3 linked regions of the Canis lupus familiaris genome follow. The protein of the gene in region 1 interacts with the protein of each later gene in a pairwise test. Links are inferred from orthologs where the notes say so. Each region holds a gene or a part of one and is shown in the gene's direction. Other genes may lie near its edges.

Region 1 (7,469 bases):
CAATTGTAAAGCACACCAATGTGAAAAAAACTTCAACTTGAATGGGTAAGCAGTTCTGAGGAGTTGTTCTTCTGTGCTGTAACAGTTAACTGTAGCTTACAGTTGACTTCTGATATTTAGGCCCATTATGACCTTAGTGGCTCCCACCTTTGCACCTAAAATAATTACTAGATAGTGGGTTGGTTGATAGAGGTTAGTGTTCTCTGGGGTGGCCACTTACTGGCCTCTCCTTTAATGTACCATTAATGTTAATGGACCACTGTAGCACATGTTATCTCTAAGGATGATGAGCCATCCCAATCTTTATATTTTCCTAAACTTTGTAGGTAAAGGTAAAACAATGAAAAGCCCTCTTCAAGTAAGCAAAGTAAAATGGAAGTAGCATTCTGTGTTATTAGAAGATATTGTTTTATGGAGGTGCTTAGCTGGCTCAGTCGGAAAAGCATGCGACTCTTGGTCTTAGGGTTTTGAGTATGAGCCCCACATTGGGTGTAGAGATTATAAATAAACATTTTTTTTTTAAAGATATGGTTTATGGAAGAGTTGGTTCTCTTGCCACTCAAGTATCTTACCTGTGCTATTGGATTTATGACTGTATAGTTGGATGTCTTAAGAGTTGTCAATTCATCTATTCAGGCTGGTGTTCATCTATTCATTTTAAACACAGTCTGTGTCATCTTTGAATAATTACTAGAGTCAAAATAAAGAAAATTAAGCTTACTTGATGTTTTTTATTGTTGCTTTATAAGGCACAGTTGGTGGATCTGAAATCTGAACTGACAGAGACACAGGCAGAGAAAGTTGTGTTGGAGAAAGAAGTCCACGATCAGCTTTTACAGCTGCACTCTATCCAGCTTCAGCTCCATGCTAAAACTGGTCAGAGTGTTGACTCTGGTACCATTAAGGCAAAACTGGTAAGTAGTTTAGAAGGTAACATATACTTACATGTATTTTAGAGGATGAAGAGGACAGTTTTTAATGAGGCTTTTGAATATAGAAGGTAATATGTGCTTAAGTGTGGGAAATTTAGAAAACGCAGGAAATGTAAAGGTCTTCATGATCATCCACAGTCTCAGCACCTAGAGGTGAGAAGTGACAATATCAATAAGCAGTTGATACTTAGAATAGGATTTTTTTCCTATTTGAAAATATCTGTGTAAAAATATTTAAAAGATATTTGTAATTATAACGTGTAAACAGTTTTTTGCCCTGTTGGGTGAGTTAGGATTAAGTTCATCTGCATATAACAAGTCCAGAGAACACTGGGAATATTCTTGAATAGTACAAATTATTTTCTTTCAAGCCCTGAAATAGGCAGCACAGAGCTTATGTGATGGCTCTATAGATACTAAGTATCCAATATGCTTTTTGTTGTTGTGTTCGCCATTTTTAGCTCATGGTTTCCATCCTTAGGATCTCTTTATTCTAGGCAGAAAGAAGGAAGAATCTAAGAAAAGGGCAAAAGGATGCTTCCAGGCTGCATTAGTGTTCTAAAGAATTTTTCATGAAATCCTCCTCAACAATTTTTGCCCGTCAAGTTAGCCATCTCATTGGCTATCCCAACTTGCATTTCAGCCTCTTAGTTGGTCACGTGGCCACCTCTTGTGAAACTGGAGTTGAAAATGGAATTGGGTGCCAACCACTGGCATATTTTTTCCTATTGCTCTTATGAGCATTTTTTTCTGCCATTGAACATTTTGTAATGTTTGTATAATATAAATGTATTATATATACATTTTCCATAAGTAACCTTTGCCCTCTTAATATAAGTAGAAAAATTTTTTAAGTCTCATTTCAGCTTAATCTCGTACTTGTTAAGTGTGCAAGTATGTGCCAGACACTTGGTTGACCATAGGGGACACAGCAGTAAGATAGATATAGCTTGGGAGAGGCAGGAAATGAAATGAGGATGATGATAGTCATACATTTTTAAATTTTACTTGTTAGAATTTATTTAAATGAATATTTCCATTCTCCTTAAATCTTTTAAATTCAGAAATTCTATGAATCTAAGTTAGTAACCTTGTTCTCTTTAACTGAAATGAGTCAGATTTCTCACTGCTTTTTTGGGATATTTGATGTTTACGTTGAGAAACAGTGTATACATTTTCACTAGAAAAGAGTTTACTTGAAGTTTTAATGTTAGATCTGAAGCAGGGTGCTGTAGTAGAAGGCACTGAACCAGGTGAGCTGACTAATTTGGTAAAACAAAAAGTTTTAATCTAACACTGTGTAGTTACTGTAGGTTATGGATTTGCAAATATATTTGTTCTAATGAACTTTACCCAAATGATATTCAACGTATGGGAGTTTTCCTTATAATGATTATACCACTAGATAAATTCATTTGTTTGATATTTTTCTAATTATCAAACTTTTTTCTTATATCTTAAGTCTGTCCCCTCTGTGGAGGAGCTGGTAAGTATGTTGTTTCTGTTTGGCTTTAATACGTTACGCTGAAGTGTTCTTATTGTCTTATTTGCATATTATATGTTGTCACTTTGTATTTGGATGTGATGTTCATGATGATAGTTTTTTAATCTTCCAGTACCTGAAAAGTTCAGTTGGTGGCCCATTGCTCTTTTCTCAGTACACGTTGTGAAAGATTTTTCTTTTGTTTGTGATTTATAACCATTATTTACAGAGCCCATCCATTTTTGACAACTTTTAAGCCTTGTAACTTGTTGAAACCTCTACTTCAAAAGAGCAATTGGTTTTCCCACTTGAGTATTTTGAAGATATATTAAGAACACCTAGCTTTTTTCTCTTTTTCTATTTGAACTTATCCCCAGAGAAAGAATGTGCATGTTGGTTTCGTATTCATCTTCTGCATGTGTCACAACTTTTTAGCAGTCTTGGAATAATTGTGTGGCCTTTGAAACAACTGAATTTTGAAACTTTTTGCCAGAACTTATTTTAGAAAATAACAATGTATAAATTCTTAATATTTTCCTCACTATGCTAACCTAATCAGGTTCCAGTTTGTCTGATGGCTTTATTTCTTTTGAAAATACACTGTTTGGCTCTCTAAATACAAAATGAGCTTCTTGCTTATTACCTAATAAATGGGCTAACTAAAGATTCATATTTTTTTTCTTTAAAAACTAAAAAGATTAACTTCAGTTTTCTTAGTCCTATTCATGTTTGCGAATGTTATTTTCAGGCCTGACAGTTTGTCAGAATCATTAGGTGTTTGAATCATGAAAGCAAAGTGGTGACTTAATATGTGTTTTGTAAATTCCATAAATACTGTATAAATAGGTTATCAGGGCAATTGTACATAGACAAATATCAATGTAAAGTTTATTTAGCCCATAAACCAAAGAATACTTGGTCTTCTGGAACTTTTTTTCTGAAACAAATAGCATTAACTTCAGTAAATGTCATAAGAAAGCTTATTGTTCATGTTATCTAAACTGTGGAGTTTTTTTGGAACTGATTCTTGCCTTTCAAGAAATATGCTCTGAAATAAATTGCAATTTTAATAATTCTAAAGTTGTAAAAGGAGGATTCTAGATTATTCTTCAGATTCTTGAAAAACAGTAATCAAAGAGGCAGTAAATATATCTACCATTTGGTAATGACTCATTTTAGCTTGTATATTATTTTTTTGTGTTTAAGACTGTGGTACTCACTGCCTTATATTTGAATATGTCATATATTGATGTTTTAGTGTATCATTTATTGATATACTATTGAGAAAACAGTAGACCAAAGCAGACATTAGATTAGTACCAAAGTATATTCCAGAATTGTTAGAGGTTTGTTTGAATTTGTTTCTCAGCTTACTACCCAGAATAAAAAGGGAAATAATTACAATAATCAGTACCCATACAAATAGAAACAGTATCATTTGTCGTTTGCTCAAGAGAAGCATTTTTTTCTGGTGCTGAGCAAGACCTTTATTTAAGTCTCACAAAGGGGACAGGGTGAACAGTTTCTTCCACATCTCATCAACAGATACAACCACATTTACACAGGATTTATAGATTCTGTTTATCAGTAAATCGGTAAAAGCAGTTCTATAAGGCAGTAAAAACATTTCTACTCAGAATAAATGGAAGTTTACAGTGTTTTGTTAATCCAAAAACAACACTTAAAATATCTATCAGGGCCCTTATTCAACTCTTGGAAGAGTTTTATTTGGCCACAGAGCTTTTGTGTATTTGAGTTTGACTGCCTTTAGGCAGGGATTTTGTACCTTCCATTTTCCACTCGACTTTGTCTTGTATTGGTCTGTTTTGTGCTTGGGTCCCTGAAGGCATTTACATTGGTCACCCCTGAGTTGTAGGAGTAGACATATTGTACTTTATACTTTTAAGGTAAATTGAACATTATTTCTCATATGTAAGCTTGTGATAAAAATTGGATGGCAAAGATCTTGAGGTTTTATACTCTAGCTAACACCTGTAATTCACATATATAGACTCTCTACCAAGTAGAGCATTCTTTTATGAGAATTAAAAATGGATGTCCATCCTACCTCCTAGAAGGCAGGTAGGGAGGGCCCTGTTTTCCTCCACAAACATTTATTTTACTTCATTCACTTTGACATAGGGATAGATGAATCACATCCCCAAAATCAGTGATAATCTGTACCATAGATATGGTCATGCAGAGAAATTTTTTAATGTATAAATTTTTCAGTACGTTTGTTACCAGCATTTTTCCATTACCATCAAACATTCTTTAAAAAAAAATTAGAGTATCTGTTCTAATTTAAGCAGTTTAAGTTTCTGGTAGTCCTCTAAGGTAAATTAACCATGGAATCTATGTAAGTGAAGAATTTTGACTTGTTTATAGAATTATTGCTTTAAAGTTAATTAAGTGTTTGGATACAGCCACCAGAGTGATTTTTTTTTTATTTTAGTCTAGTTTCTTGAGTCATTTTTAGAAAATAAATAGGGAGAAGATTCAGTTATTCATTGCAACCACTCCTATTAGTGTATGATGACATAAGCTTAGAAAATACTAATTATTTTAGTATCCTCAGTGTCAGAGTACCCCAAGGCATGAAATTATCTTATGTGGAAGTGGTCCCAACACCTTCTGGTACTAGTTAAAAAGAACTGGATCCAAATCTTTGTATGCTCCATTTTATAGAAATGGTAACTTTTATCATATGCTTTCATTGTTGGTATTGTAACAGACTGTGCGCTTTTATGTATTTTGAGAAACATGGTATGTTGCTAAAAAGCCTTAAAAAAGTATTTTCATTACATTGTGCGTGGGTTTTGTTTTTGTTTTTGTTTTTGTGTTTTAAATAGGAGAGAGAGCTGGAAGCAAACAAAAAAGAAAAAATGAAAGAAGCTCAACTTGAAGCTGAAGTGAAGTTGTTGAGAAAAGAGAATGAAGCCCTTCGTAGACATATAGCTGTTCTCCAGGCTGAAGTTTATGGGGCAAGACTGGCTGCCAAGTACTTGGATAAGGAACTGGCAGGAAGGTGTGTAAAAAATGAGTGCCTTGTATTCTTAAGTAGCTAGATATTTAGTGAGGTTGACTCTTACCTCTTATGGTAAATGAAACATTAATCTTTATCTTAAGAGTTATTTTATAGGGCAGCCAGGGTGGCTCAGCGGTTTAGCACCGCCTTCAGCCCAAGGCGTGATCCTGGAGACCCAGGATCGAGTTCCTGCGTCAGCCTTCCTTCATGGAGCTTGCTTCTCCCTCTGCCTGTGTCTCTGGCTCACTCTCTCTCTCTGTCTTACTGTTAATATTGATAGCATTATATATTGTAGATTTATTTAGCCATACTACATAAGTATTTCTGGTTTACACATACACAAACACACACACTGATAGGAACTTACTCTGACATGCTAGTAACTCTAGATCTGCACCTTTCAGCCACTTCCTGCCTTGAAACCATAAAAGATGATGTTCACATGTATAGCCTTTCTTAAGGAATTCTTTCTGTGATCATTGAAATGTAATCTTTCTTGACTCTCCAAAACACTTTGGAATGACAGTGACTTTATCATAATAATATGGTGCTCTCCTTGTATTAATTTTTTATAATCACAAAATTTGGTGATTTATTACTTTTGATAAATATTTTTTTACTTATTCACAGCACATTAAGAACTGATGTGAAGCAAATAAAAATAATTTATATCATGTTGAAGTGCACATTTTCTAGTAACTTTTGCCATATTTAAAACAGTAATTTTTAAAAAGAAACTGTCTTTTAAAAAAATGTTTTTGTACTGTTAGGTTCCTGTAAAGACTAATATTCAATAGTGCCTGAGTTTGTTGACCTATCCTGATTGTGTGCAAGACATGTTCATTGACATCAGTCTCAAAAATTTTTTAGATGTATTTGAATTAAGTATATGGTTAGAAAAGGTTTCATTCATTCTTTTTTTTAAAAAAAAAACTAGTTTTCTCTTGAAGATATCTGTTCTTTTCAGACTTTTGGTATGTTACAAATCTGAGAAACATCAGGAGGTCCTAAATGTATTAATTACTAACAGGTTTTATTACTAACAGAAATAGGTTTTCTGTTGAGGTTTATGCAAAAGCTACTGGTATCCAGTAATTCTTCGGAGTTCTCTCTGTAATAAAAATTATAATAATGAAAAACTAACTGAATTAACTGTTTTCTCAATATAAAGGGTCCAACAAATACAATTACTAGGGCGAGATATGAAGGGACCCGCTCACGATAAGCTTTGGAACCAGTTGGAAGCTGAAATACATTTGCATCGTCACAAAACTGTGATCAGAGCCTGTAGAGGACGAAATGACCTGAAACGACCAATGCAAGCCCCTCCAGGCCACGTATGTTTGTTTTGTTACTGTTTCATACTCAACCTCTTCCTTCTTCCTTTAGTCAGAAGTCCTTTTCATGGTTTTTATTTAGTAGTATTTAAAACCATTATTTTAAAAGTTAAAGTGGAATTAAACTTATTTAGAACAGATACATGAAGTTCTTAGTTGACTTACCTGAATGCCCTGAAACGATATTTCTGAAAACTGAACTGTTGCTAGCAGATACATATTGCTCGTACTTTGACTCATATTTCAGAATTTTTCTGGATCATATTTAGGCATGTTTAAATTCATTTTTTAAGCTTATCAGAGAACATGTCATGTTAATAAAGTGGCAAGTGTTTTGAGGGTAGTTCTTAAGGGAATTTTTGGTAACTAGATTCAGCTGTAGTTTCTGAACTAATGTTTCCACCTGTTTGGTCTTGAATTAAGATGGAATTTGAAAAAAAAAAAAAAAAATGGAGTTTGAGGTCCGTGTCCAATTGTCTGCTTCTGTAGCCATCATTGTACAAGAGCTTTTCTATCTGGATAAATCTTTATTAAATTTCATTACTACAGCTGTCTGATAATATAAGCCTTTCCATAATAAAAGCATGTCTGACTCCTTCCCAGTGGCTTACATATCTTATTGCCAGATAAACTATGGTCTTAAACAAGTTCAAGTATTTGTTATCTCTGCAAAGATTATTTTAAGAAGA
Region 2 (7,964 bases), on another chromosome or scaffold:
AGACCAAATAGATATTTCTTGTTATAAATCTCATCATCACATATATCTTTTGGGTCCTTCTGGGGAACTATATTATTAGGTCAAGGTGTATGAACTTCTACATGGTGTGCATGAGTGCTGCCAAACTAGAAAGCGTAGCTTCCAAACTCTCAAATACAAACCAGATCCTTTGTGCTGAATCACTGTCTTGAAGGTCCACTAACCTTAGTTAACCAGCAGCGACACTGAAAAGCAGAGAATCCCAGAGCTGACAGGGACTCTCCGGCCGTCCCTCTGTCTCTAGCTCAGAAAGAGGAGAGTTGCTTCAAGAGATCTCCCTCAGGGACGCAAGTCCACAGCATCGTTTTCACACAATTCTAGAATGATCTAAATCCTGCAATCATTTTGACATTTATTCTTCCGACTAATATTTTTTTTTTAAGATTTTATGTGTTTATTCATGAGAGACAGAGAGAGAGAGAGAGAGAGAGAGAAGCAGAGGGAGAAGCAGGCTCCACGCAGGGAGCCCAACGTGGGACTCGATCCCGGGTCTCCAGGATCAGGCCCTGGACCAAAGGTGGCGCTAAACCGCTGAGCCACCCAGGCTGCCCCCCCCCCCCCCCGACTAATATTTCTATATTGAAAATGAAAGGATAAGATCAATAGGGGAACGGTTAAGTACTATATGGCTCATTCAATGAAATAGGATACAACCATTCCAAAACTGAAAAAACTCTGTGTACTAGCACAGAATGGTTTCTCAGGTACCCTGTTCAGTGAAAAAAGCAAGGTGCACAACACTGTATACCACGTGTACATTTGTGTAAAGAGGAGGAAAAGAAACACACATTTTGCCATAGGAGTTCTGTTTGTGTAGCCATATAACCTTTTTGAAAAAATACATAAGAAGCTGACAGTACAATACCTTAATTTTCAGGGAAATGAGGTGGCTGGGAGAACATTTTCATTGCAAAATCAAACCATTCACTGAATGTATTATCTATGCTTCTTTCTTTCTTTCTTTCTTTCTTTCTTTCTTTCTTTCTTTCTTTCTTTCTTTCTTTCTTTCTTTCTTTCAGATTTTATTTACTCATGAGAGACAGAGAGAGAGAGGCAGAGACACAGGCAGAGGGAGAAGCAGGCTCCATGCAGGGAGCCTGACGTGGGACTTGATCCCTGGACCCCGGGGTCACACCCTGAGCCCAAGGCAGATGCTCAACCGCTGAGCCACCCAGGTGTCCCAAAAGTAAAATCTTTTAAAAAAATAAAATAATTTTAAAACCAGAAAATGACGGGACTAGGGCAATTGATCATACCTCCAAATCCATTTATTTAACTTGTTTATTCTCCAAACCCCATTTAAAAGGTCAGTGAAGGAATAAAAGAAGAGGGTCCTGAGTACAGAGAATGTGAGAGGGAACCGGAGATGGGCTGCGTGGACACATTTTGGGGAGAGGGTCCAGGCAGTGGCCCAATTTCAGAGTCAGACTTGCACTCGCAGCTATTAAGTGGTTCTCATGAGAACCTGGGCAAATAAATCCCTTACTTGCTTTGAGCTTCGGATTCCTTATCCACGGGAGAGCAGGGAAAAGACCCTGACTTTCAGGATTTCATATTGTGGTAGGCACGGTGCTTCCTGGGATTGCTGGGAGCACTCACTCTTACAGATCAGAAGCACACAGAAAACTGCCACCATTACTTTTAATAATAGTGCTGAGTCCTCCCCCGCCCCCATCAGACTGACAGATATTAAAATAAGTGTCTTTATTTATTTAGAGAAGACACGTGTGCCAGTGGGAGAGGGGCAGAGGTAGAGAGAATCCTATAAGCAGGCTCCACACAGCGTGCCCTCCAATGCACTCCTGCTGATGCAGGCTCCATCCTACAACCCTGAGATCACCACCTGAGCCAAAATCAAGAGTTGGAGGGGACTCAGTGGTTGAGGGTCTGCCTTCAGCTCAGGGCATGATCATGGGATCATGCCCTGAGCTGGGACATGGGGATCGAGTCCCGCATCGGGCTCTGTAGGGAGCCTGCTTCTCCCTCTGCCTGTGTCTCTGCCTCTCTCTCTTTCTGTGTCTCTCATGAATAGATAAATAAAACCTTTAAAAAAAAATCAAGAGTTGGATACCCAACTGACTGAGCCACCCAGGCGCCCCTAAAATAAATGTCTTTAAAAATCAGGGTCTTATTTAAATTCGAGTTTCTCTCATTGTAAACGAGGTTGAGCAATTACGTGAATATTTGGTAACTTGCCTGATCATATGATGATAACAGTTTTATTAACATTGGCTGCATGCTACCATGTACCAGGCACTGTGCCGTGATCCCTACAAGTGCTATTTCATTTAATCTGTAGATCAAGATAAAATCATGATGCCAGTTTTCAAGGGAGGGAACCAAAGCTTAGAGAAGTCAATTTGCTCATCTCCATTACTAGGGAGTAGAGTCTGGATTCTGAGCAAGGACTTGACTCTGACCCCAATGACCCACTTGACTGACCCAGGCTCTTCATGCTTGTGCTTAAAGAACTCTCCCCTGATTGTTTTTCTGTTGGATGATTTGCCTTTTTCGGAATATTTTGCAAGAGCTCTCTATATTTTGGTGGTGGGGGCTCACGGTAGGGAGGGGCTGTCTGGGCTGAGGGCAGGAAGTGGCTTCAGAGATGCCCTGCCTTCCATCAGAGTAAGGCTGGCTGTGAGCCTAGGCGGTGCAGTCAGACATGGCAAGAAACCAACCCAATACAGAACCGAGGTCTGCAAGGATGAGGGACTTTGACCCCCTTAGAGAAAAAGCAAGAGTGACTCACAGGAGGAAGAGAAAAACCAAAGTTCCCGGGCTGTCCCCCATGAGCATAGACAGTCCAAAGTCATCAGAAGGAAGAGGGAAACAGAGCTGGCCGGGAGCTGCCACAACACCCATGCAAATGAGACCCGCCCACAGCTGCCTGGAAACCAGGCCCAAAAGAAGTGAGAGCGCAGAGCACATGCTGCAGGGCCACCTTGGGGACTGGACGAGGAGACTCTGAGAAGCAGGTGAGGAGCCACAGGGGGTCATGGAGGGACGGGTGGGACTCACTGGAGTCCTGAGAGGCACTGCTGTCGGCCAACATGAATACTGGCCTGGGAGGCAGGGCTCCTGGGAGCAGCTTTCCAGCCCAGTCGTTCTCTAGCTGTGAAGCCCTAAGCAAAGCCACTTCACATTCTGAACCGTGGTGTCCCCATCTATAAAATGGGTGTGCATCTATCATGCTGTGTACCAAGCACCTGCTGTGCTTTGCTGGGCTCCTTACAGATATTAACACTTCCTCACAGCAAGCCTTTAAGGTGGGATTATTTGCCTATTTTTCTTTTTTTTTTTTTTTAAGATTTATTTATTTATTTATTCATGATAGACAGAGAGAGAGAGGCAGAGACACAGGAGGAGGGAGAAGCAGGCTCCATGCCGGGAGCCCGATGCGGGACTCGATCCCAGGACTCCAGGATCGTGCCCTGGGCCAAAGGCAGGCGCTAAACCGCTGAGCCACCCAGGGATCCCTATTTGCCTATTTTTCAAAGAAAAATGAAGCTCAGAGAGCATAAACCATTTCTCTAAGACCACAGAGCAGATAAAAGTCTGGTTCCAAAGCCCACTTCCCACTCCCTATCCTGCTTCCTTTACAGGGTGGTTTCAAAGAATCAAATGGCTTTGGGGCACCTGACTGGCTCAGTTGGTAAAGCATGTGACTCTTGATCTCGGGGTTGTGCGTTCAAGCCCCACACTGGGCGTGCAGATTACTTAAAAAATAACAACAACATAAATTAAATACATAAATAATTGGGGAAAAACCCCTTCCAAACCAAATGGCCTTATGCAGATGGAAAAATAATTGTAAAAGGCAATCATAAAATGTAGATGTGAGTTGCCTCACTTAGATCCTACCCAGGACCAGGGCCCTTTTTTGTAAACTGTGAGGTCCTGTAAAAATGCTAGCTCTTGGGGCACCTGGGAGGCTCAGTCAGTTGAGCCACGGACTCGTGGTTTCAGCTCAGGTCACGATCTTAGGGTCATGTGATCGAGCCCTGCGATGGACTCCATGCTCAGCGGGGAGTCTGCTTGGGACTCTCTCTTTCTCTCCCTCTGCCCCTCCTCCCTGCTCTCTCTCTTTCTTTCTCTAATAAATAAATCTTTTAAAAAAATGCTAGTTCCTCATCTCTCTCCTCTTGAGGGTAAAAACTTTGAGGGGATGCTACAAACAATATTTGGGTGACTTGCTCACAGACCCAAGTGATCCCTTTGGGGTGGTGTCTAGGACGTACTGTTGCTGAGATGGCTTCGGGGGTGACTGGTGGGAGGATACATGGCCAGAGTCCCTCCGGCGGACGCTGGACTCTGACTTGCTGCTCCTGAAACAGCAGTGGACGTCTGAGGGGACCCTGGCAGGTAAGGGCCCAGGTGCTGAGGCAAAACAGTGATTATTCCTCCTCTTGAATGGCCTTTTCCAGCCTTGGCCATGGAACTTCAGAAAATGTAGGTCTGCTTTTGGGGAAAGGGAGATGTTTAAGGGTAGTAATACGAGTTTACTGTAATATTGTAAAGTTAGAATTTTCAGATAAGAGAATTTAAACCAACCAACCAAAGCCCACCTGTTCTCTATGCCCAGAGATAACCACTGTGGACATTTTGATGTTTGTTTTTCCAGGCATGTTTCCATTGCACACATATACTGGATAATTGAATAATATTATGCTACGGTTTTATTACTGGTTCTTTTTGCTTAATGACATATCACAAACATATTTCCACATTAATAGATATTTTATCACATCATTTATTAAAAAGATTTATTTACTGGGGAGAGAGGGAAAGGGAGGGCCGATGGGAGAAGGAGAGAGACTCTCCAGCAGATTCCACACTGAGCATGGAGCCCTACGTGGGGCTCGATCTCACAACCCTGAGATCATGACCTGAGCCAAAACCAAGAGTTGGGTGCTCAGCTAACCGTGCCACCCGGACACCCCTTATCACATCATTTTAAAGGCTGCAGAATGTCTCTTTATGTATCTGGAGCAGAATATCTTTAGTTCATGTCTCACTCTTGAATGAGTATGTACTTTTCCAGACTTGTCCATTAGAGACGTGCTTCTACGAGCGTCCCTACAATCAAGCCTTTGCACAGGTCCTTGGTTATTACCATGGGACAGATTTCCAGTGGGGAAACTGCTGGATCAAGGTTATTACCTTTCAAGGCTTTTAGTGAAGTACTAAAAGGTCTGCTTCAGACACTCTCTGGAATTCGGAGCTCCTCAGAACTGAACGCAGAAACCTCTTTCATGACTTCAAAGCCAACCTTGATCCTTCCTCTCTCTCAAATCCATTTGCAGGGATACCGGCAACCACTTCATATATGATCTTTGCCGGGTGCCAGGCTCCACGAGCTTTACCCTCAGACAGACTACTTTTCCTTTTCAGAAGACCTTGAGGCACAGGTTAAGCAACTTAACTGGGATCCTGCCCCCAATAGAAGCAGCACATCTGGGGGCATGAGCCTCAACATGGCTTTTTGGGAAGTGCGTTTGACTTAATCTCCAGAGATGGTTTTTATTCCATCCCTTTGATCTGCTCTGCCATAGCCTGGTCTAAGTCAAGCACCACCAGCCCAGCCTGAATGATCAAGTCCCTAATGGTCTTTTGTTTCCACTCTGTTCTTTTTAGTCTGTTCTCTGCTCTGAAGCTGGAATGGTGTTTTGATTTTATTATTATTAAATATTTTATTTTTAAGTAATCTCTACACCCAACAGGGGGCCCAAACCCACAACCCAGAGATCAAGAGCCATGCACTCTACCGACTGATCCAGCCAGGCACCCCTGGAAAGGTGTTTTTTTTGTTTTTAAAGAATTTATTTATTTATTCATGAGAGACACACAGAGAGAGGCAGAGACACAGGCAGAGGGAGAAGCACGCTCTCCATGGGGAGCCCGATGTGGGACAAGATCCCAGGACCCTTGGATCATGCCCTGAGCCAAAGGCAGATGCTCAACCGCTGAGCTACCCAGGTACCCCTAGAATGGTGTTTTTAAAATGGAAAGAAAAAAAAAAATGGAAAGAAGAAGGCACCTGGGTGGCTCAATCGGTTGAGCATCTGTCTTTGGCTCAGGTCATGATCCCAGGGTCCTGGGACCGAGTCCCATGTCGGGCTCCAGGCTCAGCGTGGACTCTGCTTCTCCCTTTGCCCCTCCCCCTGTGGTGCTTGCACTCTCTCTCTCTGAAATAAACAAAAAAATTGTTTAAAAAAATTAAAAACACAATGGAAAGAGGATGAGGCCCTGTCCCCCACCCCATACTCACCCCTTGAATTAAATCCAGCTGTGATCCCGGCTCCCAGGGCTGGCCTCTCCCAGGCTGGCTCTTCCCTGAGCCACTTTCCTGCTCCTGCTCCTCCCACTACACCTCAGGCTTCTTTCACTTCCTGCATCTGGCAGAGCCTTTTTTTCACCTTGGGGCTTTGGTACATGCTGTTCCCTTGGCCGGGAATGTCCTTCCTCCACGCTGCGTGGCTGGTTCCTTGTCGTCCTACAGACTCAGCTTTCAGACCACCTGTCTGCCGCAACCTTGCCTGCTGGTTTCCTATGGAGCCCGTTCCCTAAGTCCATGTCCCTCTCTGCCCTTTATAGCATGTGCATTAGATTTTTTTTTTTTTTTTTGTGATAGTCACAGAGAGAGAGAGAGAGAATGAGGCAGAGACACAGGCAGAGGGAGAAGCAGGCTCCATGCACCGGGAGCCCGACATGGGATTCGATCCCGGGTCTCCAGGATCGCGCCCTGGGCCAAAGGCAGGCGCCAAACCGCTGCGCCACCCAGGGATCCCTGCATTAGATTATATATTTATCGCCCACTGCTCATTAGAGGTCTTTTCCCCTCATTGTACTCTAAATGTCATGAGGTCAAAGCCATGCCTCTCTGGGTCACCATTATTTACCTGGTGCCTCGCACAGCTCCTGACACGCAGTGGGTACTCGACAACTTACTAATTGTGGGATGGATGCATGGTCCACAGAAGAAGGCCTTCGTAGGTAAGGATCCTCAGCAGACTCCCAGCTCAGGCCAGAGGAGTTCCCTCCTCCTTTTGCCTACCTTCCTTTCCTCTTCCCTACGTGAGCAGTGACAGGAGTCTAGGAGAAAACCAGGAAGCCGTGGCCATGAGAGCATAAGCAGGTTTTGCATCTGGTTTCAACTCAGTCAGTGCCATATGAGGGGCACGAGTAAGCCTTGGTTCCCCCAAGCCCTGGGATTCCTGAGAGAGAGAGAGAGAGAGACAGAGAGAGAGAGACTCATGGTGGGGACTCTCCCGAGGGGATGCAGACACTTCCCATGTAGTTCATGACACACCTGAGCAGGCAATACCACTGCCTGGCTGGGGCACCTTGGCTGAGTCACTTCTTGCCTCCCATCTGCAAAGTGAGTGGTTAGGATGGAGAAGTGGTTTTTAAGCTTTTTTTTTTTTCCCCTCAGCAGCTCAACTCTTCAAGTTAGGTGATCGATAGGAGAAAAGCTAGATATTTCTGGTTGAAATGGGGAAGTGGGCCTGGAGCTCTCCTCCTGCCTGACTCCCCCTTTTAAGGCCCCAAGGGTGGTGAGATGGCCCCCTTTGGACTCTCAGACCTCGGAGGGTCACTGCTAGCCAGGCCGATTGTGTTCTAAGAACGGAGATGGCAGCAAGACTTGTGTGGTTGCAGCTCTTTGGGCATGTCAGATGATCAGGGAAAGGGGAGGCCTGGCTGGCTCAGTTGGAGGACCATGCGATTCTCGATCTCGGGGTCCTGAGTTCAAGCCCCACGGTGGGTGTAGATGTTGCTTAAAAATAAACAAATTTGCTGAGTCTGGGGTGCAGAGGTTTTAGGCTGTGCGGTGGGTGAAGTGCAGGGTAGGCAGCCTCTTTGTGTGAAGAGGAGGCTTTAGCCATTTGAGAAAAGAAATGAGGGCCCAGGAGAGAAGCCCAGAGGTT
Region 3 (8,126 bases), on another chromosome or scaffold:
AATGTTCTATATCTTTTTTTTTTAATTTTATTTATTTATTCATGAGAGACAGAGAGAGAGAGAGAGAGGCAGAGGGAGAAGCAGGCTCCATGCAGGGAGCCCGACGTGGGACTCGATCCCAGGTCTCCAGGATCACGCCCTGGGCTGAAGGCAGCACCAAACCGCTGAGCCACCTGGGCTGCCCGAAATGTTCTATATCTTGATTAGGGTGGGGTTACACAGGTGTATCCCTTTACCAAAACTCATCAAGCTGAATATTTTAATAGTGCATTTTATGTATAAAGCTGTGCCTCAGTAAAGTTGATAGGAGCTTTGGAAACACATGCACAGACTTTTATTGCAGCATTACTTCAATAGCAAAAAAAAGGGAGATGGAATTGGCTGTTAACAGGAGAATGTTTCAACTGTGGTCCTTTGCCATCAGAATGACAAACTTGTGGAAGAAGGTGTAGCCGATGCTAATGATGACCCTTTCGAGTCTCCAGGCATGTATCTCTCTTCCTGGAGGCTCTCTCTTGTGATTGGAGCATTCATGGAGCAGGCTAGGAGTGCTGAAGGATTAGTACCTCCTGGGATCATCCCTCATCCAACTCTGCCAGGAGTTGGTACATAAACGCCCCAGCTCTTTCAATTTCCAGGAAGGATAACAATGAGTTGGGAATAATACACTGTCTCCGGAGTTCCCTCTCCAGCAGGAGTGAATTCCAGGAGCCCACAGTTATAACTTGGTTGACAATGCTCTCTTTATTCCCTGTCTTGTCTTATCCACCTACTCCCCTACCAGTGTTTTCTGCATCTCCCAAATAACCACTTTCACTTGAATCCATGTCTAGGGTCTGCTTCTGGGGAACTCAAATTAAAGACTAATGGATGAGGGGTGCCTGGGTGACTCAATCAGTTGTGCATCTGCCTTTGGCTCAGGTCATGATTCTAGGGTCCTAGGATCAAGTCCCACGTTGGGCTCTCTGCTCAGCTAGGAGTCTGTTTCTTCCTCTCCCTCTGCCCCTCCTCCATCTCTTGCTTTCTCTCTCTCAAGTAAATAAATAAAATCCTTTTTTTTTTTTAAAAAAAAAAAGGACTAATGGATGGTACCAAGAGTCAATCATGATGTGGGGAAATGTGGAAGGGGCTTGTAGGGATGGGGTAACTGGGTGATGGACATTAAGGAGAGCATGTGATATAATGAGCACTGGGTATTATATAAGACCAATCACTGAACTCTACCTCTGAAACTAACACACTATACGTTAATTAATTGAATTTAAATTTTCTTAAATGTGGGGAAATGTTAGGAGAATTTTGGCAGCAGCCATTCTGCAAGCATTCATCATTCTTGGCAAAGCAAGTCTTTACAAAATCCTTACACAGGTCTTTAGGGCAAAGTTGCACGCCATCTAGGTGTCCATAGCTATAGGAATTGACAAACTGTGGAGGGTGTAGACGATGACCTAGCAGGAATGCTGGTCATCATCCTCCCATGCCCAGGACAGTCCCCCCACCCCATAACAAAGAATTATGCAGCCCAAATGTCAACAGTACTGGAGTTGAGAAACCCTGTGTAGCCCAGCACTCAGCACAGTATTGCTGAATGAATGAATGAATGAATGAGTGAATGAAGAGATGACGGTGGCCTGAAATGGCTGGTAACAGAGGGAATACAGAAAAGCTGTAAAATTCTTACACATCTTGTGTGCTTGGCAGACTTTAGTGCGACAAAGCTCTTTTTCCAGAAGCAGTTGTGCTCTGCCCTTGCCTGGTGCTGGGCACATCTCATTCATGTGGGGCCTCCAGGTGCCCTCCAGCTGGGCATCCTGCCTCCTCAGTTTTCAAAGTCCTCTGAGCTTCCCAGCTGCCGGAAACCGCCAAGAATGAGCCAGGGTGGTGCCTGCGGGTGAGAAACTTTGCTTGCCGTTTGAATAGCGCGGGGCCTGTGGAGCGGAAACCGCTGACCACAGAAGGACCAGGAAGGCCTGGGACACGGTGTGGGGGAGGGGCCTGGGCTCCAAGAGTGGATTGGAGTGTAGAGAAAACCGATCAGAATGCTTGGGGCGGGGGATTAGAATCCTGCGAGAGTGCCGAGGTAAAGGTTTAGGATCCTTGTGGGTCACGTTAGAATCCTTTGATGAGGGGTTAAAGTCCTTGAGGGTAGGGTTGGAATTTTTGGATGGATCGGATTGGAATCCGAGGGGGGATTAAAATCCTTTGGAAACAAGATTGGGATTATTCGGGAGCAGGATTAGAATCCCTGGGGTTAGGGTTATGAATTTGGAGGGCTGGGTCAGAATCCTTTGAAGAGAAGGGATAAAATCCTTCCGTTGGCCGGATTAGAATCCTTGGGGGACAGGATTAGAAATCTCCTGTGGGTGAGGCTAAAAAATCCTTCAAATGTGAAATTCAAAATCATTTGGGGGCAAAACGAGGATCTTGGCAGGAGACGGTGTTGCGGTTCTTGGGAGGACGAGTTTAATCCCTTTGGCGACCACATTAAGGTTTGGGGAGGCGGGGATTATAATGCATTAGGTTAAGTGCTTGGAAGAGGGCGTGGGGTTAGGATCTTTGGGGGACGGATTAAAATTCTTAGGGGCAGGTTTATTATCCTTCCGGGCCAGGGTTAGGATCCTTAGGGGCAGGGTTGGAAGCCTCTGATGGGCGGCGTTTAAAAAAAAAAAAAAAAATCCTTGAGCGGTGGGATTAGGGTGCTGGGAGGAAGGGCCTGGGATGAGAGTCCACGCTGTGGGGTCAGAGTCTTCAGGGGCGGGGTTAGGATACACGGGGGTGGGGTTAGCATCGCTCAGGGCGCGGCTAAGGAGCCCAGATGGCCTGTGGGTGCCACCGAGTCCCCGGTCCCAGCCCGAGCGCACCGCTGAGGCCGAGGCGAGCAGGAGGGGGCGCCGGGGGTTCAGCGCCAGGGGAGCCCGAGAAGCCGCGCGGCGCCCAAGCCCCTCAGAGGCCGCCCTTTGCCTTTTCTCCAAAGTCAGCCCGTCTCCCTTCGGGTGCGGGCGCCCCGGGAGTCCGGGGGCTGCTGAGCTGGGGGGGCGTTCGAGCTGCGAAGATCCGGGCTGCCCGCAGGAGGAGGAGCGGGCGCCCAGGTGAGTGGCGCGCGGACGGCGGAAGCGGGAGGGTCTCCGCGGCGGGGGACGGTGGGGGGAGCCCAGCGGGGGGGCAGGGCCGGCTGGAGGGCGGCAGGAAGGGGCGGTCCGGGAGCGGTGGACGCGCGGAGGGACCGGGGGCCCGCGACGAGGGCCGGGCTGGCCGGGCTGCGTGCGAGCCTGGAGGAGCCCTAGGGGAGAGGAGCCCCGGCCCCCGACGGACTTGGGTCCAGCCTCCGCTCCTCTGAGCCGTCCAGGTTCCCCTTCTGCAAAAGAAAAAAACGAGAAGGAAGGGATGAGGCTCTACCGACCGAGAAGGGAAGGCCCTTACGGCCCCTGGTGGGGGTGGGTGACGGGTCACGGCAGGTTGGCGGCGGGTTGGCAGCCCGTGGTGGGGAGGGGGACAGCTGGCCGGAGGCGTGCGGTGCGAACCACACCCAGGCGGGCCTGCAGCTGGGCCCACTCTGCGCTCCCTCCTCCTCCCGCGCTGGGCCCTGATCCCCAGCAGGTCTGGGTCAAACCTCAAAACCTCCTGGACAGACCACAGGGTGTCTCCCCGCCTCCTTTCCGCTTCGGTGAGACCTTGGGCCGAGTCGTGCTCCCTTTCCGAATTCCAGTTTTCTCCTCCGTCAGATAGGGCTAGATTCTTTCTCCAAGGCTACAGTGAGCTGGAGTCTGTGGGGGTCATGCAAGGGGAAGTGGGATTCTGGGAGCAACCTGCCTGTTGACCTTTAGCAAGGGATTTGGTCTTCCTAGGCCTCTGCTTTTCCACCTATAGGATAGGGATATTAATAATAATGACTCCCTCCCAGGGTCGTTTTGAAGGTTAGGTTAAGTTATTCATGGAAAGCTCTTGGAGCGTTAGGTCACAGGTATAGGTGCTTAGTACTCGTGAACTATTGTCGCTATTACCGTCTAGCCAGTGCTTCCCAAATGTTAGCAGTACACCTGGGAGGCTTGTTAAAACACAGATTTCTGGGCCCTGACCCCAGAGTTTCTGATTCAGTAGGTCTGGCTGGGGAATCTGAGAATTTACATTCCCAGGTGATGCTGCTGTTGCTGGTCCAGGGACCACACTTTGAGAACCATTGCTGTAGCCTTTGGCCAGCACAGAGAAAGACTTCAATAGATATTGGTTCCTTTATCCCATGGATTTCTCTTCACTATCCTTTTTTTTTTTTGGGGGGGGGGGGAGGATATTAAAATAAAGAAAAGTGAAAGAAATAATATAGTAAATATCCCATGAACCCACCACCCAGAATTAAATGTTTCCCTCTGGCTTTTTAAAAAATAAAAGTCTTAAAAGTAACAGATAATACTGAAGCCTCTCCACTTGTCTCTCTCAGTCCTGTTTTTCTCTCTGCCCAGAGGCAACCAGTCATGAAATATAGTCCTTTCCAGTCTGTGCCTTTATGAATTTATTACATAGATATGGATGCATAAATAATACATAGAATTGTTTTTCTGTGTTTTAAAGATCTCCAAAAACGCTATCCAGCTGTGAGATTCTTCTGCAATATCGTTTTTCTATTCCTTGCCTTATCATTAAGTTGTCAAGGTCTAGCCAGGATGAGAAACAAAGGCATGCATAGTTCATTCTTTCTCAGGGCAGTATTTCTGCAAGTGACCATCCTATCTTATTTCTCATCCCCCAGTTGTTGGACATTCAGATGTGTAGCAAGGCTTTTACTACAATAAACTATTCTGCTGGGACCATCCTGGATGTATGGCCCTGGTGAAGGTGGGAGGGTGCAGGTGTTTCTTGGGAAAACACTGAGGGCTGGATGGGTCTCCAGAGGGGGCATCTGTGAACCTCTCTTGTGTGCAAGGAGGACTGAGACCTGAAAGGGTCACCCAGGTAGTCTGGATCAGAGACGACAGAGAGTCTGGCTCTGCTGACCTCCCAGGCCTCCTGTTCCAGGTCTGTTTTCCACTGCAGGAGAGCAAAGATCTTCATTTGCCTGACACTTGGTAAAAACTCAAACAATGGAAGAATGACTCCTTTTTAAAGTTTTTTGGGGCAGCCCAGGGTGGCTCAGTGGTTTAGCGCTGCCTTCAGCCCGGGCCGTGATCCTGGAGACCTGGGATCGGGTCCCATGTCAGGCTCCCTGCATGGAGCCTGCTTCTCCCTCTGCCTGTGTCTCTGCCTCTCTCTCTCTCTCTCTCTCTCTGTGTGTGTGTCTCATGAATAAATAAATAAAATCTTTTTAAAAAAGTTTTTTGGATAACAGATATTTTAGTTTACTTTTGTGTAGTCTTCTTTTCTGTGTGCTTTTTATTTAACGTAATCAGTAAACTGCTGTGGTATACAATTTTCATCCTACTTCTTTGCTTAGCCCTATATTATAAACATTTATCTATGTCATTAAAATCTCCTAGGATTTTTTTAATTGTCAATTTATTTTTTAAGTTTATTTATGTATTTAAGTAATCTTTACACCCAACGTGGGGCTCGAACTCATGACCCTGAGATCAAGAGCTGCATGATCCTCCAACTGAGCCAGCCAGGTGCCCCAAAATATCCTTGGACATTTTTTTTAAGATTTTATTTATTTATTTATTCATGAGACACACAGAGAGAGAGCCAGAGACATAGGCAGAGGGAGAAGCAGACTCCATGCAGGGAGCCCAATGTTGGACTTGATCCCAGGTCTCCAGGATTACACCCTGAGCTGCAGGCACACGCTCAACCGCTGAGCCACTCAGGTGTCCCTATCCTTGGATATTCTTAATGGCTACATATTATTCCACTGTTTGGATGCACTATAATTTAACCATCCTAGGAAAGCACTTTTATGTAGTTTTCAATTTGTAAATTTTTTTGAGTTGAAATTGGCATAGCATTATAAATGTAGCCATCTTAATTCAGTGGCATTTAGTACATTCACAGAGTTGCGCAACCACCACCTCTGTATGGTCCTCAAATAGTTTCATCTCGAAGCACTGATCCCATTAAAGCAATCACTCCCATTCCAGCCCAAAGTTCACCCGAGTTATAGCATGTATTGGTATTTCAGTTCTTTTTATGGCTGGATAATATTTCATTGTATGTATATACCACAATTTGCTTATGTATTCATCTGTAGATGGAAATTTGGGTTGTTTCCACCTTCTGGCTATTATGAATAGTGCCACTGTAAGCATGTGCCTACAGGTATTTGTTTGAGAACCTGTTTTCAATTTCTTAGGTATATACCTAGAAATGGAATCACTGAGTCGTACAGGAATTCTATGTTTAACTTTTTGAGGAATTGCCAGATTGTTTTGCACCATTTTACATTCCCATTAGCCATGTAGAAGGATTCCAATTTCTCCACATCTTTCCCAACGCTTGTTTTCCTTTTTTAAAAAATTACTATCATTATAGTAATCTAGTGGGTATGGGAAGCATGGACCTTTATCTCACCCCCATCAGGCTGCTCGCTGGGGGCCCTTACCCCTGAGAGTGAGGAGAAAATTGTCTGCAGCCAGATCTTGCACTTTAAACTCTTCTAGAAAGTAAGGGCAAAGACGTGTCAGTCTCCTAAACCACTGTATCATTAACACATAGTAGGTGCCTGGCACTACTAGTAGGGCCTCAGAGAATCAGGCTCTCTGCAGGAGCCTATGTCTCTGCCTCTCTGTGTGTCTCTCGTGAATAAATAAAATCTTTAAAAAAAAAAAGAGAGAGAAATCCAGATTGGTGGGGGTTCTTTTGATATTGAAAGTTGGCAACTAATTAAAAAGAATCACAACACGGAGCCAACTGAAATATACCTGTGTGTTGAAGTATCTCAGGCAAGGGAGATACTTCCTACATTCCTACATTCCAAGTTTCTCTGAGGCTCATACGACTGAGCCATCCAGGCACCCTGGATTTCTGTCTTTCAAAAAACCGAGTTGGCAATAGTGAGACTAGAGACTCTGTCTCTCATCCTCTCTGCTATTACTCATGGCAGCACTGGTTAAGCCACGTAGGGCTTACCCTGCTCACTATCCCTGAGCTGTCGGTTTGCACCACCCTCCCTTGGATCACTTTCCTCATGTGGGTGTCCCTATAGGCCCCTATAGCCATTTGACTTTTCAAGTCTTTCCCCCCAATTTTGCCTCCCTTTTTATAAAAAAGGAATATCAGGTCCAGAGAGGTGAGTAGCTTTCCCGAAGTTACACAGCATGTTAGTGGTACAATCTCTCTTAGCCTCCATCTTTCTAAACAACCCCTACTGTACTTTGATCCCCACCTCATTTTTCCAGTTTCCTCCATCCCAGGGCTGGGAGTTTTAGTGTACCTCCAGGGACACGGGTAATGATGCAGAAGAAACCCTTGCTCCAATATAAGATGTGCCCTTGTTCTTGGCTGGTGCTGATGGCCACACATGCTGCACCCTATGCATGTTGCTGCAATGCTCCAGATGGCAATGCATCGGGGCCTGCATTCCTAATACTACCCTGAGACACCCACTGAAGTTCACAATGTCACCCTGAAATCCTTTGGCCTGGGAGACTTAGGTGCAGCCAAGTGCATAGGAGACCTTCCCAAACCTCTGCCAGAGCCCAGGAGCCCAGGAGACCAGCGTCTGAGTGCCCACATTGCCTCAAAGGAGCTGTAATTCGTTTGGGAAATCCCCTCACTCTCTGAATCTCAGATTCCTTATCTGAAAAATGGAAATAAGGATACTACCCCCCAAGTCATGTAGTAAAAATCCTTTGATGCCAACACGGAAAAAAACGATACTCCATATTTTCTGTGGAAAATATGTATCTATGTACATATGTATCTTATGTGAGTTTCCTATGAATCTTAGTGTGAGTTTCCTTAGAAGCAGACCCTAGGAAAGGGGCCATGTGCAATTACTATTTTGTCTATTTGGGAGAGGATCCCAGAAACCCCTGGGAGGAGAGTGGGGAAGTGAGACAGAAGAGAAGGCAGTCATTAAAGGTGTGTTATCATGCCAGTCACTTCTGTGGGCACCAGGAGGTCAGTTCTGCGGGGAGCCCCGGGAGCCAGTGAGCATGCGCAGGAGGTGAGGGACCTGGGGTATTTATCCACCTGCTCCT

What was found. The genes of interacting proteins can lie anywhere in the genome.
Region 2: the proteins of GOPC (region 1) and RNF183 interact in binary tests that used the Homo sapiens proteins (3 or more experiments, as listed by UniProt). The two-hybrid records come from large-scale screens. The link is inferred for Canis lupus familiaris from reciprocal best matches to the Homo sapiens genes GOPC and RNF183.
Region 3: the proteins of GOPC (region 1) and HCK interact in binary tests that used the Homo sapiens proteins (3 or more experiments, as listed by UniProt). The two-hybrid records come from large-scale screens. The link is inferred for Canis lupus familiaris from reciprocal best matches to the Homo sapiens genes GOPC and HCK.

Annotation. Positions count from the first base shown.
Region 1 is NC_049222.1:58,357,927-58,365,395, reverse strand, and holds part of GOPC (Golgi-associated PDZ and coiled-coil motif-containing protein), read left to right. Parts: intron 1-711; exon of another isoform or gene 712-749; coding exon 750-914; exon of another isoform or gene 915-1,026; coding exon of another isoform or gene 1,027-1,079; intron 1,080-2,394; coding exon 2,395-2,418; intron 2,419-5,267; coding exon 5,268-5,443; intron 5,444-6,614; coding exon 6,615-6,780; intron 6,781-7,469. Other genes in the region: DCBLD1 (discoidin, CUB and LCCL domain-containing protein 1), read right to left, coding at 1,027-1,079.
Region 2 is NC_049232.1:68,074,210-68,082,173, reverse strand, and holds the start of RNF183 (E3 ubiquitin-protein ligase RNF183), read left to right. Parts: upstream 1-2,641; 5' UTR 2,642-3,014; intron 3,015-4,270; exon of another isoform or gene 4,271-4,401; intron 4,402-6,954; 5' UTR 6,955-6,997; coding exon 6,998-7,032; intron 7,033-7,964. UniProt on the Homo sapiens protein: Acts as an E3 ubiquitin ligase catalyzing the covalent attachment of ubiquitin moieties onto substrate proteins. Triggers apoptosis in response to prolonged ER stress by mediating the polyubiquitination and subsequent proteasomal degradation of BCL2L1.
Region 3 is NC_049245.1:21,971,576-21,979,701, forward strand, and holds the start of HCK (tyrosine-protein kinase HCK), read left to right. Parts: upstream 1-2,803; 5' UTR 2,804-3,089; intron 3,090-8,126. UniProt on the Homo sapiens protein: Non-receptor tyrosine-protein kinase found in hematopoietic cells that transmits signals from cell surface receptors and plays an important role in the regulation of innate immune responses, including neutrophil, monocyte, macrophage and mast cell functions, phagocytosis, cell survival and proliferation, cell adhesion and migration.